Canis lupus familiaris: one gene and its partners. The protein of the gene in region 4 interacts with the protein of the main gene of each other region in a pairwise test. Links are inferred from orthologs where the notes say so. Each region holds a gene or a part of one and is shown on either strand. Other genes may lie near its edges.

The links.
Region 1: the proteins of HNRNPF (region 4) and HNRNPUL1 interact in a two-hybrid assay, tested with the Homo sapiens proteins (3 studies listed by BioGRID and IntAct). The link is inferred for Canis lupus familiaris from reciprocal best matches to the Homo sapiens genes HNRNPF and HNRNPUL1.
Region 2: the proteins of HNRNPF (region 4) and C15H1orf94 interact in binary tests that used the Homo sapiens proteins (3 or more experiments, as listed by UniProt). The two-hybrid records come from large-scale screens. The link is inferred for Canis lupus familiaris from reciprocal best matches to the Homo sapiens genes HNRNPF and C1orf94.
Region 3: the proteins of HNRNPF (region 4) and HNRNPM interact in binary tests that used the Homo sapiens proteins (3 or more experiments, as listed by UniProt). The two-hybrid records come from large-scale screens. The link is inferred for Canis lupus familiaris from reciprocal best matches to the Homo sapiens genes HNRNPF and HNRNPM.

Annotation. Positions count from the first base shown.
Region 1 is NC_049222.1:113,451,065-113,454,626, forward strand, and holds part of HNRNPUL1 (heterogeneous nuclear ribonucleoprotein U-like protein 1), read right to left. Parts: intron 1,880-3,562; exon of another isoform or gene 1,767-1,879; intron 1,246-1,766; coding exon 1,077-1,245; exon of another isoform or gene 484-1,076; coding exon 199-483; exon of another isoform or gene 1-198.
Region 2 is NC_049236.1:7,759,720-7,764,048, forward strand, and holds the start of C15H1orf94 (uncharacterized protein C1orf94 homolog), read right to left. Parts: upstream 2,863-4,329; 5' UTR 2,757-2,862; exon of another isoform or gene 2,745-2,756; intron 2,238-2,744; 5' UTR 1,590-2,237; coding exon 1,261-1,589; intron 1-1,260.
Region 3 is NC_049241.1:53,439,346-53,442,558, forward strand, and holds the end of HNRNPM (heterogeneous nuclear ribonucleoprotein M), read left to right. Parts: coding exon 1-7; intron 8-593; coding exon 594-645; intron 646-2,173; coding exon of another isoform or gene 2,174-2,187; exon of another isoform or gene 2,188-2,261; coding exon 2,262-2,425; 3' UTR 2,426-2,687; downstream 2,688-3,213. UniProt on the Homo sapiens protein: Pre-mRNA binding protein in vivo, binds avidly to poly(G) and poly(U) RNA homopolymers in vitro. Involved in splicing.
Region 4 is NC_049249.1:3,803,235-3,807,484, reverse strand, and holds the start of HNRNPF (heterogeneous nuclear ribonucleoprotein F), read right to left. Parts: upstream 2,801-4,250; 5' UTR 2,713-2,800; intron 2,399-2,712; exon of another isoform or gene 2,393-2,398; 5' UTR 2,328-2,392; intron 1,789-2,327; exon of another isoform or gene 1,644-1,788; intron 1-1,643.

The DNA of each region.
Region 1 (3,562 bases), on a different chromosome or scaffold from region 4:
GGAACAATGCCCAGGGGAAGCAAGACAGCAGGAGAGTTCCCCTGAGGGCCCAGAATTGGACTTGCTGTGGTTCTCCACCAGAATTCAGCCCATAGCTAGTCCTACAGAAGTCTCATCTATTGACTGAGTAAGCAATCACAAAGCCCAACCCTGCTCTGGGAGCCAAAAGCGGAGAGAGCCCTGTTTGAGATGTCTCACCTCCTCGGTAGTTGCCTCCTCCACCGCTACCACCCCCTCGGTTCTGGAAGCCTCCTCGGTTGCCCCCTGGTGGGCCTCTGTTGTCATAGCGCTGGAAGCCTCCACCACCGCCTCGGCCACGGAAGCCACCACCTCCACGGTTGTCAAAGCGCTTTTCAGGGGGTGGCCCAGCCTTGCGACCTTCCTCATTGTACTGTCTCACCAGCTTGTCTGCTTCTTCCCGCTGCAGCTCAATGAACAGCACCTCATCCAGGAAGTCCCCGACGTCTGGCAACGTGAAGTTGGCTAGGAAGAAGTCAGGGCCCCAGAGGGAACAGAGGTCATTATCTTCTGAGGTCTGGTCCCCTACACCCCCAGGACACTGGCCTGCCAGAAGGGAGATGGTAGAGGGGATGAGAAGTGAGTAACAAAGTGAGAAGAGTCTCAATCTTTCTGACAATGATCAAGAGTTAACAAAGACCCTCCTCTCTTCTGAAGAGGTGGCTAAGTGCCACCAAATTTAAACACTCCTTCCAGCCTCCCCAGGAGGTGGGCCAGGCACGTGGAACCAGCATTCTTATTTCTACAGAGGAGGAGACTGAAGCCTGCTCAGTACCCCACTGGTGGTATTGAGTGCGGGGCTCTCACTGTCTTTTCCCACACATCTTCTCCCTCATGCTGCCCCAGCCCCAACTAGTCTGAAAACTGTGCTACAGGACTGCCAGCAGCTCTTCCATTCACAGCTGCACCAGACAAGGAAGGGCAGAACAGGAGTAAGGGAAGAATGGACAAGATCAAAAAAGGAATAAGCCAGGAGCTGGGGAGGAAGGGACTGCGGAAGGAGCTTTTCTCTGGAGGAGCCTGCTGTGCTGGCCCCCTGGGAACGGCTCATCTCCTACCTTTCATTTCTAGGACCGCGTGATCTGGGACATCCTTTCCTTCCTCGTCGGTTCGCTTTATTGTTCGATCTTTTAGGTCCTCATCAGTGGGACAAATTACAATGGCTTTGCGCTGGAAGCCTTCAAATGGTCTCATTTTTCGTCTCTGGGCTGACCCATAAACATTTGTCTACGGGGAGATAACAAAAGAGGCAAGAGATGGTACATTACAACTTGGGCTTTTTCTTGTCAGGTATTATGTAGGCCAGGATTTGAGAAAAGAATGATAGTTCTCCTAAGCAGAAAAACTCAGGAAACTGCTCTTTTTACTGCTCTTAATATTCTTGAGCCAGTCCTCAGAAAATGGGACTTGGGAAAGCGGCTGCTGACAGCTGCTGATAGCTGCTGACAGGACATGGGGAGGTTCCCAATGGTTAGGTTTTTAACTCTTATCTGTTCTTGGTACGCCACTTCATACCCTCTCCCCAATTCCAAAGAAACACAGGCTCATGGTAAAAACTTCAGAGGAATAAGAATTTATTGTTAAGAATCCCTTTATTTGCTTACTGCCATTCCTCCTTCCCAGAGATGACCCGAACTGAATTTATGTATTTCTAGAAAGATCTGTATGAATTTTTTTCTTTCTTAAAGCATTTACTTTGAGATATGATGGAAAAATCTTAGAGGTACACATGGGAAATTGGTCATAGTTAAAATATGGAACGCTTCACGAATCTGCGTGTCATCCTCAAGCAGAGGCCATGGTAATTTTCTCTGTATCGTTCCAATTTTATTTTAGTGTATGTGCTGTTGAAATCAACACAGATTTGTGATTTTTAAGATTTTATTTATTCTAACAATAAATAAATTTAAGAATAAATTTTATTTATTCTATTTTAAGATTTTTTTAAATTTTTTATTTATTCTGAGACACAGAGAGAGAGGCAGAGTCCTAGGCAGAAGGAAAAGCAGGCTCCTTGTAGGGAGCCGAATATGGGACTTGATCCCTGCACCCGGGATCAAGCCCTGAGCTGAAGGCAGACACCAAACTGCTGAGCCATCCAAGCATCCCGATGTGTGTGATTTTTAATACAAATGGAATCATGCTACATACTCTCTGGAAGGCTTTTTTCACTTAATGTTTCTCTAACGTTTTTCTGGGCCAGTGTTCTCTTTTAATGGCTATATAATATTTACAGAATGGTTGCCATAATTAACCAGCCCCTTCTGACAGTTTTGTGGACTGTTTTCATCAACACTGTGGTTCTTTTATTCCCCTAGTCCTTCTCTAAAGCCATCAGGCTTACCCACAGGCTTCTACCCAGAGAGCAGGACAAGGCAACAGCCCATGCTTTTTCACAAGTGCAGTTTTGCTGCTAACGTTCTGTTCCCTTCCTCTAGGTGATGCACAGGTGTGTCCTGGGCTGGTTCTGGCACAAAGTGGTGCTCTAGAACACACCTGACCAAGAGTAGCAGTTGCCAACAGCTTCCATTTACTGAGTACCTTCTATGTGCTCTTTGGAACTGAGACCCAGACCTGTGGCACCCCAGGGCTCACAGATTCAGCCTGTACACCCAAATCACCTGGATGCTACTGGAAAAGAGAATAGCCCTAATGCCACTCAGGAATTACCAAACTCGTTTCTGGAGACGGGACCCAGGCACCATACAGGTATCCTCCCTATCCAAACTTAAGACACTGAAGAGAATTAGGAGTCCTGAGGAATACCTGCTTTTGAAAAAAAAAAAAAAAAATACCTGCTTTTTTTTTTTTTTTTTTTTTAAATACCTGCTTTTGAACAACTTTTAGCGGCTCTGAAAGGGACTCAAGGGAAAAGCCCTTGAGGGGCAGGTACCAAGAGACACAAAAAATACTGTATTTCCATCCTGATAGGGTGGAAAAGCCCAGGGTCAAGTCCTAGTTTGGCCATTAACTCACTCTGGCCAGTCCTTATAGTTGCTTCATCTGTAAATCAGATGAAATGCCTCCCTGCCAGGGCTGCTAAAGACTGAGCGGAAAAGGATAATAGAACAACTGCCCCAAACACAATTAAGACCTTGAGTGGGGTTTCTGAGGCAGCCTCCAGCATGGGAGCTGTCTTGATAGAGGCAGGCAGTGTGTGTGTGGGTGGGTGGCTTGGCATATCCCAACTCTAACCTAAGTTAGAGTGTGGTCAGGTCACACCCCCATGGCCCTGGGTGAACAAGTTCCACTCAACCTACTTGTCTGTAAAATCAACAGACTTTGCATTTAATGAGTCTCAAGCCCTGAAAGGGGAAAATAGTATGAATGTCATATGTTCACTATTAAGACTTCAGGAATTCATGTTGAGTAAAAGCCCTTGGTTAGCCCAGGGCCTGGCTCACAGCCAACATTCAACAAATGGGAGCCACTGTTGTTATGGCTGTTACTGGGGAGGGAGGTATGCCATGGTTAGTCTCACTGTAAAGTAAACGTGAAGTGATCCAGACCAGGGGAAGATCAAATTAATAGTGACTTCCCATCA
Region 2 (4,329 bases), on a different chromosome or scaffold from region 4:
GTGCTGAGCACAGCCCCGAGGCCCCCTGCCAGGGCTCCATCCCGGAGCAGATGGCAATGGGCAGCAGAGGGGGGGCTCAGCGCCACTGGGGGGCTGGCGGCAGGATTCGGCCAGTAGACGGGCCATTCCCATTCCAGCCGCATGGTGCTGGGCACAGGGCAGGGTGAGCAGTGACAGCCGGGTGCCTTCCACCTTTGTCGGCAGCCCGAGAGGGGACAGCAGGGAGTGCACCTGGGGCACCTGCACACACTTCGCCTTTCTTCCCAGCTCTTTTCTAGAAATCCCCGAAACCAGACATCGTTGGTGATTGCCTGGATGCCCCCCCACCCCACATCCGGCATCTCCGACTTGAACTGGAGCATGTGTTGGAGCAGGCAACACTTAATTATCACTTAGTCTTCAATTAGCACTTAATTATTAACACTTAATCCATCTGTAAAATGGGGACACCAATACCTGCCTCCTAGGGACCCTGGGAGGATTAATTAACGTCTGCAGCCCACTCTGAGGATGCCAGACATGACTGGGGGCTCACAGTGGCACTGACGGCCGTGGCGCTTCGCTCGCTTTTCCTGACGCGCTCTCTCCTTCCTTTCCCTGCGAATTTCCAGCCCCAATCATATCTGCCCAACATTGAGCTCTGTGTTTCCCAGGCACAGGATTCCCCAACTAGGAAAAGGGCTATTTACAGCCATCCTCCCGCACTTTAATTTTCTATTGTGCCCTCTGAATATGTCAATGCCTTCCCAGTAAATATTTTGATGTGCGCTCTTGCAGCGGCTTCTGTGGAGGCTGAATGGGACAGCTGCTCCCTGTATTAGGGAATTCCAGATGTGGTTTAAAACCACCAGACTCATCTGTGACAGTGCCTAGCCTCTGGGAGCGGGAAAGGGAACGTATCGCAGAGCTGCCTGGAGGGAGAGCCACGGGCATCCGACCCTCAGCCTAGGCCGGTGAGGGTTTTCGAGGGCCTCGGATCTACACCTAGGTGGCCTGGGCAAAGGGAAAAACACCAGCCCTTTGTGGGCTGGTCAAGAGGCAGCAGAAATACAGCCCTGGTCTGGCTCTTCACCGGGGAAGCTCAGGATCCTGGTCACCCACCCTATAAAGATTGGACAAAGGACCCCAACAGGTGGAGAGAAGGCATATACAGCCTAAGGGTTTAACCAGACTCAACAACGGGCCAGAACATTCCCCCAGAAGGTCGGACCTCGGCTCCTCCCTCCTCCCTTGGTGCCAGCCACAGACGGGGACACTCACCCTTCTTGGAAGCTGAGCCCGTTGTCTCTCGGAGTCCCAGCCACCGGGGCAGAGAGCTGTTCCTTCACGGTCCTGGGCTGCAAGGCCTCGGGCAGGCCTTGAACTCTTTTCCAGATTTCGTGGCAAGTCTTGTCTAAGCTGTCTTGGGGTGTGTCCTGGTGGATCCAGATGTATCTGGGGAATGGGCCCAGGGCGGAGGGGCGCTTGGCCACCAGGGCTGAGGATGAAGGGAGCCCATTTCCACTGGCCATCCTCCTCCTGTCTTTCCGGAGGCCCCTTCGTCCGCCCAGGGCTTGAAGACAGGGGGACCATCCACCACCACCCCTCATTCACCGGAGAGGGAGATGAGGATGGGCAGACGCAGGTCAGTTCTGCGTGGCTGTTGCTTCAGCAAGGTGGCTGTGCTCAGAGGCCTTCGCGGTGGGTGTGAGGGGAGGATGGAGCACCGCTCTCTTTTGGGGAGGGGGAGCTTATTTTGATTTGCTTTTATTTGCTCTCTTCTGACTTTTGCCCCCCTCCCCCTCTCCCGTAGAAGAAAATATTTGAAAGTCAACAAAAACCAGTAGCTTAGTAACCGTGGAACCCCCCTGAGCTCAGGAACCGGGTGCCTGGGCGGGCAGAATGACATCTGGGAACAGCTGGAGGGGGAGGGCGGGCTCTCCCCGCAGCCCCCGCCGTCCCGTCGCCACGCCCCCGTGACACCTGCAGCCCTCAGCCCAGTCCAGGGCTGGTGGGCAGGTGCTAGGCCAGGGCCCGGCGCAGGTGCTAAGTCAGGGCCCGGTGGGCAGGTGCTGGGTCAGGGCCTGGCGCAGGTGCTAGGCCAGGGCCCGGCGGGCAGTTGCTGGGTCAAGGCCCGGTGCAGGTGCTAGGTCACGGCCTGGCAGGTAGGTGCTGAGTCAGGGCCTGGTGCAGGTGCTGGGTCAAGGCCTGGTGCAGGTGCTAGGTCAGGAACCGGCAGGCAGGTGCTAGGTCATGACCTGGCAGGCAAGTGCTAGGTCAGGGCCCAGGGCAGGTGCTAGGCCAAGGCCCAGGGCAGGTGCTGGGTCAGGGCCTGGGGCAGGTGCTGGGTCAGGGTGCAGGGCAGGTGCTGGGTCAGGGCCTAGGGCAGGTGCTAGGTCAGGGCCTAGGGTAGGTGCTAGGTCAGGGCCCAGGGCAGGTGCTGGGTCAGGGTGCAGGGCAGGTGCTGGGTCAGGGCCCGGGGCAGGTGCTGGGTCAGGGTGCAGGGCAGGTGCTGGGTCAGGGCCTGGGGCAGGTGCTGGGGCAGGGTGCAGGGCAGGTGCTAGGTCAGGGCCTAGGGTAGGTGCTACGTCAGGGCCTGGGGCAGGTGCTGGGTCAGGGCCGGGGGCAGGTGCTAGGCGCGGCAGGGGCGGGGTCAGCCCTCGGGGTCCCGCCCACCGTCCCGGGGCCTCCCAGGGACCCCGCCCCCACGCCCTGGGGCTCCGGACGGCAGACCCCGGGGTGCCCCCCCCCCCCCCCCCCGTTACCCCAGCAGACACCTGCCCGCAGGCCCGCTGCCTGGGCCGACTTTGCCGGCGCCCACACCCTGGGCCCAGCGCCGGGTTCCTCTGCGGCCCAAGCGCAACGGCTCGGAGCGGAGCGCGGGCGCTGGGTTCGGGGTTCGGCGCCCAAGGCCCCCGGGCAGGTGGGGGCGGGGCCGGGACGACCCGGGGGCACCTGCACCTGCACCTGCCCCGTCGCGCCCGCCGCTCATGCACAAGCTCTGCACCTGCCGGGGGCCCTGCCCGGAACCGCCGATGTGGACCCAAACTGACATTTTTGGGGGGCGCTTACCGTGTGCCAAGCTCTGGGCTTCCCGTGTCCTAGCCAACCCACCAAGCTCGTGAAGTTAGTACCTTTGTTACCGGTGGGGCCTGGAGGAAACGCAGTCTGCGGGTCAGAGGGGGTCGGTCCAGAGCCCACCAGGAAGACAGGAGCTGGGATTCACACCCAGGCCCCCACCCTCCAGGCCCCACCCAACCGTCACGGCCTTAGGGATCCCTCCTGAGCTGGGTTCAGCAGGTCCCCAGGGTGGAGGGGGAGCGGGGGGCAGTGGGGTCAGGGGCTCCTGGCCAGAGAGAAGGGCTAGGTTAGCAGTTTGCGGCCCAGTGAGCTCACCTCTCTCCCTGGATGGGCTTCATTAAACTCAGAACTGATGCGGCACTTTGCCTGCCCAGGGCTCCACGGCCCCGGGGGTCAGGGGTCCACCCAGGAAAGGGAGAGCGAGCCAGATGACTGGGAGAAGAGTGGATGGGAAGAGACCAGCCACGGCCACCTCCTGGCTGGGGGGGCCCAACCCCTCTTTTAACCTCCCCTATGCGCCTTCCTTCCTTCATTCCCCAGGATTGGCTGAGCACCCCAGGTGAGATGCGGGCACCGAGGACGCATGCAGGTGAGCAAACTGGCACGGTCCCTGCTCTCCTGAGGCCTGTATTCTAGTGTAAGGAGAAAGATCGCACACTAGCGAAGTAAATAAGCACTAATTACAGACGAAACGAGGGCTCTGACGGAAACTAACCATCACCACGTGTGCCAGTGCCTCGAATTGGGCATAGAAAAGGGAAAGTATCACGGAGTGGCCTCCAGGGAAAGCCACGGGCATCCGACCCTCAGCCTAGGCCAGTGTGGGTTTTCAAGGGCCTTGGATTGACAACTGGGTGGTCCATGCAGAATGAAAAATGTCCCCTTCGTGGGCCAGTAAAGAGGCAGCAGAAATACAGCCCTGGTCTGGCTCTTCACCCGGGGAACCTTAGGACCCTGGTCACCTGTCCTATAAAGACTGGACAAAGGACCCCAACAGGTAGAGGGAAGGCATAGGGGAGGACAGGGGGAGGGGAAAGGTGGCAGCATCAGATGGATGGCCAGGTAGGCCTCCTTGAGGAGCTCAGGTGTAACATTGGAGATGAGACAGAAGGAGAATCCTTTTTTTTTTTTTTTATAAAATGGTGTTGAAAATTCTTATGAAAACCACATTTCTGGCACATAGTAGGCACTCAACAAATACATGTTGGATGAATTAATGCTATATCATTTGTAAAGTACCTGGCATACAGTCGGCGCCCAATACACAGC
Region 3 (3,213 bases), on a different chromosome or scaffold from region 4:
GAGAAATGTAAGTGGCTCTTCAGCAACTTGATGGTGGTGGTAGGCACAAAGGGAGGAAGGGTGAGGGGACAGGTTGAAGTCAGAGTCGGTGCCTTCAGTAGGAAGGGTAGCAATACAAAAGGCCACCTTGCTACTGTCCCCCCAAATTTGGTGCTAGTAGGATAAGGAAGGACTGTGAGAGTGTATGAACTGTGCATCAGGAGCCCTGGGTTATCGGACTGCTAGGTGGAACCAACAGTGAGTGAGCTCAGGAACAACCCGAGCTTCTGGACTCCCTTGGCAAGAGCCACTACACCTGGGCATGACGGACAAAGGGCTGTATCTGTATCATCTTTATACCAAGTTAACCACCTTCAGCTACTGTTGAGTGGTTTTGGGGCCTCTAACCACAGGCGACTGTCCTCTTGAAGAGAGATAATGCCACAAGGGAGTACGCTCGGTGTGCTGGTTTCGAGCCTCATTCCAGACAGGCGTATTTTGTTCTCTGCTGATCACCTATTTCCTGAAAGTTTCTCTGAGAGACCCTGGTGTTTATGCATTAGGATATTAGGATTTTGGTTGTATCACTCATCAGTTTTTCCTTTTCCCTTTAGCTCCCATTTGATTTTACATGGAAGATGCTAAAAGACAAATTCAACGAATGTGGTAAGTGTTTGAGGAAGGCTTTCTAGGTGCTTCCATGTGTTGTGGCTTCAGAAGTCTTAGCTTGTTAGTGATGCATTTGTGGGGTGCAGCGAAGCTCCCATCCTGGTCTTCACAGCCACTTGCCGTGACTCAAGGACCAGTGGGACTTGCCATTTTTCTGCCTGTGCAAATATTCAAGCCGGTTGTTGAGTTTCCTCTTATGTGTCAGACACTTCCTATGTGTGTTCTCATTTCAACCTTATCTTTCTCCTTTTATGGTTTTTGAAAGGAGACGATGTCCCCATTTTGCAGATGAGTCAGGAAAAGTCATGTTCCCAAGGTCACATGGTTTCTCCGTGACAAAGCTGAGTAAAATAAAAACATCTGAGATGAGGTTGCTTTCTACCACTGTACTGTTGGTTCATGCCTCAAAGAGCACTCACCCAGAAGTTCCCAGGGGTGAGCTTGTCTGTGAATGAGGTGAGGGGCTCTGGTTTTGGTTTTCTGGCCACACCAGGCCACCATTCTGAAAGGCTCACTTTGTGGCTGAAAGGAAGTGAAGTTGTCCCTGGGTGAATCCCTGCTCCTGACTCCCACCACCTCTGTTCTTTAAACCATGTTAAGTGGGAGCCCCAGGCCTAAGCCACAAGTCCAGGTGGCTTGCTGGGTCAAGGCCTCCTCAGTGTTTTTTCATTTCCTGTTTCACTGATAGCTCAGATTGCACCACTTTGCTGCTTCTCCTGGTTCTTCTCTTAGGGCAGCTGTTGAGCCATACGTGCCTTCTTGCTCTCTCTCCATTCTTTAGTTTGTAGTAGGTATTCTGAAAAGTCATGTTGGATCAGGCTGCTCTCCTGCCTCAGATGCCTGGAGGTGCCCATCTGCTAATGAGAAGCTCACTCTAGTCCCTTTGTAACTTAGTCCGTCCTTTTTCATCTCTCTCCTGTCTCTGAACCCGGAGTTGCAAGTGCCATTCTCCAAAAGTGCTTTATTTTAAGCTGTTGTAGTGAGAGCTTACCTTCTGGTGAGCTTAAGTATTTTAGAACTGTCCTGAGAATCCCTCTAGATGTTGACCTTCCCTTGGGCTGAGTTAATGGCTCTAGAAACGAGGGCCATCTAACATAGGGCTACGTGGTCATGTCCTTAACTCTTTCCCTTATAGACTTGTTTCATGGTGCTTGACACATACCTGGATTCTTAATCAGTGCTTGAATGAATATGTGAACCCCACTTTCAAATTAGGATGCAGTCTATGTGTGGACAATACAGAATGTCCCATTATTTCATGATGGCCTTGTAAATACTCTGAAGTCTTGAAGATGAAGCACCTATAAGGTTGGCTTCACACAGCCACCTTTATAACTTTCTCAAGTGTATGAGTATGCATTTGAAGCTGCCATGAAGGCTTATCATGGGTCAGATGGTGGTTCTGTTGGCAGAAGAATGGCAACATGGCCAAGGGCCATAGTCGCTGGATTCCAGCTATTGTGTTCTGAGCATTTGTGTGCCAGGGCCGCTCTCCCTTTTGACTCTGTCCACCGAAATCCAACAGGTGATCTGGACTGAGTGGAGCCCAGACTGAGGCTGAGCTCTGGGTTTGCCTGATGAGTTGTGGTCTCTTCTTCCCTCCCTGTGCCCAGGCCACGTGCTGTATGCCGACATCAAGATGGAGAACGGGAAGTCCAAGGGGTGCGGTGTGGTTAAGTTTGAGTCGCCAGAGGTGGCTGAGAGAGCCTGCCGGATGATGAATGGGATGAAGCTGAGTGGCCGAGAGATTGATGTTCGAATCGATAGAAATGCTTAAGCAGTTGCCTTTTTTAAACATCGATACCAGACCTCTGAATTTGTATTTTTTCTTGTTAACCATTTTAATTTGTTGGCTGGATGTATAAAGATGTTTAAAAAATTCAGTTGCTTTTTGGGGTAATTTGAATTACTTTTTTAATGACCGGGGTTCCATTTGACTGTTTGCATTGAGATTGCAATGTGCGCAATTTTTTTTGTAGTTGTGGCATCTTGTTGACATCGAATATGACTTTGATAATAAATACCAGTTCCTGAAAAGATGCTTGCTTTTTTGCGTGTGTGTTGTGGGGCACCCCCTGAGGTTTGAGGAGCTAAAGCCAGTCTTCTTTCTACCCTTAGAACTGTGACCACTGGGGGGTCTCATTCCCATTCCTCCTGAGCATGAAGGACATGGACCCTGGCCACTCGAGGAGAACTCTCATGGAAACTGAGTCCTGAGTGGACTTGAATTCTCCAGTGCTGGTAACAAAGCACTTGGATATTACTGGTCCTGAGAGCCATTCTCTCTCCCTCCTGTACAGTTGCTCTTTGGGGTACAGAAATTGCGTCAGGCTTATTTCCTGTTTGGCTTTTGTTACAGTCTTATTTCGGCTGCTATAACAAAAATACCATAAGCTGGGTGGGCTTATAAACTCAGACATTTATTCCTCAGTTCTGGAGGCTGGGAAGTCCAAGATCAAAACACAGTCCATGGCAGCTTTTCTTTGCTACAGCAGACCAAGCACGGTGCGAGTTTCTGAGCATATTTAGTCCTGTAGTGGTTTAGGCTGACTGTGATTCCTGGGT
Region 4 (4,250 bases):
GTTCCGTGCAGGGAGCCCAACGTGGGACTTGGTTCCAGGTCTCCAGGATCATACCCTGGGCTAAAGGCGGCGCTAAATCGCTGAGCCACCCGGGCTGCCCTGTAGCAAGACTTTTAAATGAAAACCAGTCACCTGCTAATTTTTTTTTTTAAATTACAGGGACACCTGGCTGGCTCAGCAGTTGAGCGTCTGCCTTTGGCTCAGGGCGTGATCCTGGAGTTCCGGGATCGAGTCCCATATGGGGCTCCCTGTGTGGAGCCTGCTTCTCCCTCTGTCTATGTCTCTCAAGAATAAAAATTTAAAAAGTAATAAAATTTAAAAATTGCCAAAAAAATACCACAAAAACAATGTTAAAATTTTAAAAACTAGGGACGCCTAGGGGGGCTCAGCGGTTGAGGGTCTCTGCCTTCGGCTCAGGGCGTGATCCAAGGACCCAGGATCAAGTCCCACATCGGTCTCCCCCGGTCTCCCCGTGAGGAGCCTGCTTCTCCCTCTGCCTGTGTCTCTGCCTCTCATGAATAAATAAAATCTTTTTAAAAAATTATTTTAAAACCTAAAATAAAAAAGACCTAGTATGTAATAAATCTAATCAAATTACAGAAATGCATACAGGCACAAGAGATGACTAAAGATGGGCTTGCTTAAAGACCAGTAATTAGTAACATCAGCAACCTCTCCCAAACTTCATAAGTAGAAATTTACTCACTTCAAAATGAAGAATCTTGACTAGAAATTAACACTGAAAACATCACTTTTCACTGACATACCCCAACGCATTTTTTTGTCTAACCGGAGAACCCGAAGTATTTTCATTCTTACTAGAAATTCAGAAACCGTTAACCTTTAAAAAAATGACTGTAAGTAATAGAATTACATTTAAGATAGGGAATTTCGACCACGTTTTGAACTGAAAGAGTATCTGAAGTGTTCAGAGCTCTTCCAGCGCCACCAACTTCCGGAGACCTGAGGCGCGGCGTTAACCTTGGGCACCTCGGGGGCCCCCTTCCCGGCGGGCGGTTCCCCCCACTCAGCGAGCCGTAGCTCGCGGACCCCGCTCCCGCCACGCACGCGGCCGCGGGGCAGACAGGAGCCCGGACACCCCCAGGTAGCTGTGAGAGCTAAAGGAAGCACGTTCCTGCGTCCTGAGGCCTCGGGGGAAGGGAACTACTGCGAGGAGAGTCCGGCCGGCGGGCCCGGCCCGAGGGACGCGGGGCGGCGGGGGAGGGGGTTCCTGCTGGAGCTGGGGAAGGGGCTCTCCGGGGTCTGGGGATTTGTCCGGCGAGAACCTGAGAGCTCCTGAAGGGAACAGACCAACAGGGAGGGGCCTGTGGCCTCCTAACCCGGTCTATAAAAGACGGGGTCGGGCGAGTCCCCGGACTCTGCCGGCGTCACCAGGCCGCCCGGCGCCACTTTCAGGGACCCACGCGGGCACACCGAAGGTAGAGGGCGCAGCGCAAGCGCCGGCAGAGTCCAGAAGTTTCTTAGGCGCAGTCAAGAACCAGCAAAAAATACATTCAAGGATACAAAGAAATAAAGGGCAAGGGAAAAAGAAACGGCCGATTAAGCTCGCTCCGCGTAAGTGTGGTCACCCGGCAGAGATAACGAGAACCAAAGAGTTTCTACCCAAAAACCAGACACAATACCTCTAAAAGCAGGAGACAAAACGGAGACCGGCGCTCGGCACTCACACGCCACACCGAGAGGAAGAAAAGGCCTCAAAGACCGAAAGTGGAGGCTCAGCGAGCGGGAACGTGGGAGGGGGGAGGAGTCAGTTGCCAACCAGTCTGGTGCAACTCAACCACGTGAAAGTACTGCTTTCATTTTTAAATGAAGCCCCTCTCCCACGGTCGTCAGGTGCCCTCGCGCTATTTCTGGCAGGGCGCTCAAGCTCTGCTAACCCCGGAGGCCGCACCAGGCCTTTCCTCCCTCCCTGCCTCCCGCGGCCCTGAATCCCAGCCCAGCGGTCCAGTCCCCGAGGGGATGGCTCTTGATCTCAGGCCTGCCTCCCCGCACCCGCGATCTCAGTCCAGGGGTCCAGTCCCCGACTCTACGGCCGTGGACTTCTGACCCCACCTTCCGTGACCCCAATTCTCAGCCCCAGGGGGCCCAGTCCCTGACCTCAGCCCCTGCCTCTCCCGACCCCAACCCTCAGCCCCTGCGTGCCCAATGCCCATTCGGTCCCCGTGGGTGAGGCCCCTGACTTCAGACCTAGCCTCCCCCAAATCCGTATCCCAGCCCCGCCGCCCCCAGCCCAGAGGGCCCGGTTCTCGGTCCGTCCCAGTGGTGCGGCCCTCAGCCTCCGACCCGCCGCCCGTCCCGCCCCTCACCTCGGGCTCCGGGTCTCCACGCTCCCGCTCTTCACATCCGGCACCTCGATCGTCCCTCTGAGCACCTAGAGGAGGGTGGAACGCGGGGAACTTGGCAGTTGTAGCTGAGGCAGTTGAGGCTTGTTTACCATCACCATGGAAACCCCTGGCAGCGCGCCCTGGGCGGGGCCCCGAGGGGCGGGGCCTGGCGCGCGGCCGGCCCCGGCGCACAACTCCCGCCCGTCGGGCGCACGCGGCGTTTCCCGCAGCCCGCTTGCTCCGGGCTCGCCCAGTCCCCGCTCGGCCGCACCCCAGCACCCGAGGGCCGCTGCCCGGAGAGCCCGCGCCCCCACCCCACTTCCGGCTGCTGGCGTGACCGCCGGCCGCTTTCCCCGCGGAACCCCACCTTCTTCTCCAGGAAGACGCGGCGAAGGGCTACTTCCACCACGGAGCCGGAAGGACGCGAGGAGCGCGGCGGGGCGGGGCGGGGCCTCCGCGGCGTGCGTCCAGGGGCGGGGCCGCGAGGGCGCCATTGTGCCGCTCCCGGGGCGGAGCCAGGGATTGGTCTGCGGGGCGCGGGGCAGGGCCGGGGCCTGCGGAAGGGGACGCTGTGGAGAGGAGAGCCGCTGCCTCGCGCCAGCCCTTTCTCAGGGCGGGGGAGGGTCTGACCGCGGCAGCGTTGAGCTCCGGGAGATGCTGACTGGGAGAGTTCCCCCCCTAAACCGGGACCTCAAGGACTCCGGTATTGAAGATCAGCGTGAGAGAAAAAAAAGAGTAATTTCCTGCCAAGGAGAAAATAGGGAACCGAAAACAGCGAGACGGATAAAGGCGGCTCCGATTGCAGAATTTAGGGAAGGAGTAACATGTTCACTGAGGTTGCTCACATGTTGATTACTTGGGCTGAGGAGTCCCCGGTCTCTGAAGGTGACCCAGAAGACCCAAGGGAACACCTGAAACTAAAGGCTGGGTGGAAATGGCTTCCCAGCCTGAGAGCAGTGGAGACTTCTTGATGTGTTCTGGAGTTAGTAATTATCACCATTTTAATTTTTGGAGACTCTTTATAAAGAGGATGAGATCAAGGCATTCATCACAGGTTTCACAGAACAGATTATTTTAAAATCACTGGTTAAATTAAGGGAATGTTTGGAGCAGTGGCAGATTATGAGCGGATGACAGTAAAAAGCAGTTTGTCAAAAGCTGATTCTAGGAAAGAAAAATGGGAAAAGTGAAAGGAAGAGCTGTTAGAGGGGGTGAAAATGTACAAGGAGAAAATTAAAGCAAAATTACTGAAAATGAGTCCTACAAAAATCAGGTAGGTGTTCCCACAAAACTCCACAATGACTTCATCATAGCAGACTGTAGAAAAGTGGTTCTGGAGAGAGAATGCAAGCAGCCAATCTGAGGCAAATATTAAAACGGTAACAAAAAATAGTGCTTCAGAATTAAGGGACTGTGAAGCCAGGTCCAAGAAGATATGTTTATATAGTCCGTTAAGAGAGACTCAAGCTACACGGGCTCTTTGATCCCTTCGAGGGGCTCCCTGTTCATTATTGATCAACAATGCAATAATCCTTTTTTTTAAATTTTACTTATTTATTAATGAGAGAGAGAGACAGACAGAGGCACAGGCAGAGGGAGAAGCAGGCTCCAGGCAGGGAGCCCCACGTGGGGCTCCATCCTGGGTCTCCAGGATCAGGCCCTGAGCTGAAGACGGTGCTAAACCGCTGAGCCACCCGGGCTGCCCAACAATGCAATAATCTTTGAGAGCCTCCCTGAAAGAAAGATTAGAGCCTTGGCCTGATTATGAGCCTCTCTCTGGTCTTGGGAGTAATCCTAGGTGCCTATTAATGTTTTTTTCAGAGATGAGAACCAGCAACATTACAGGTAGACCCTCTTTCACAGTGAGGCCTGAAATTGTTCATACTGGTGCCACAAATCCAGGCC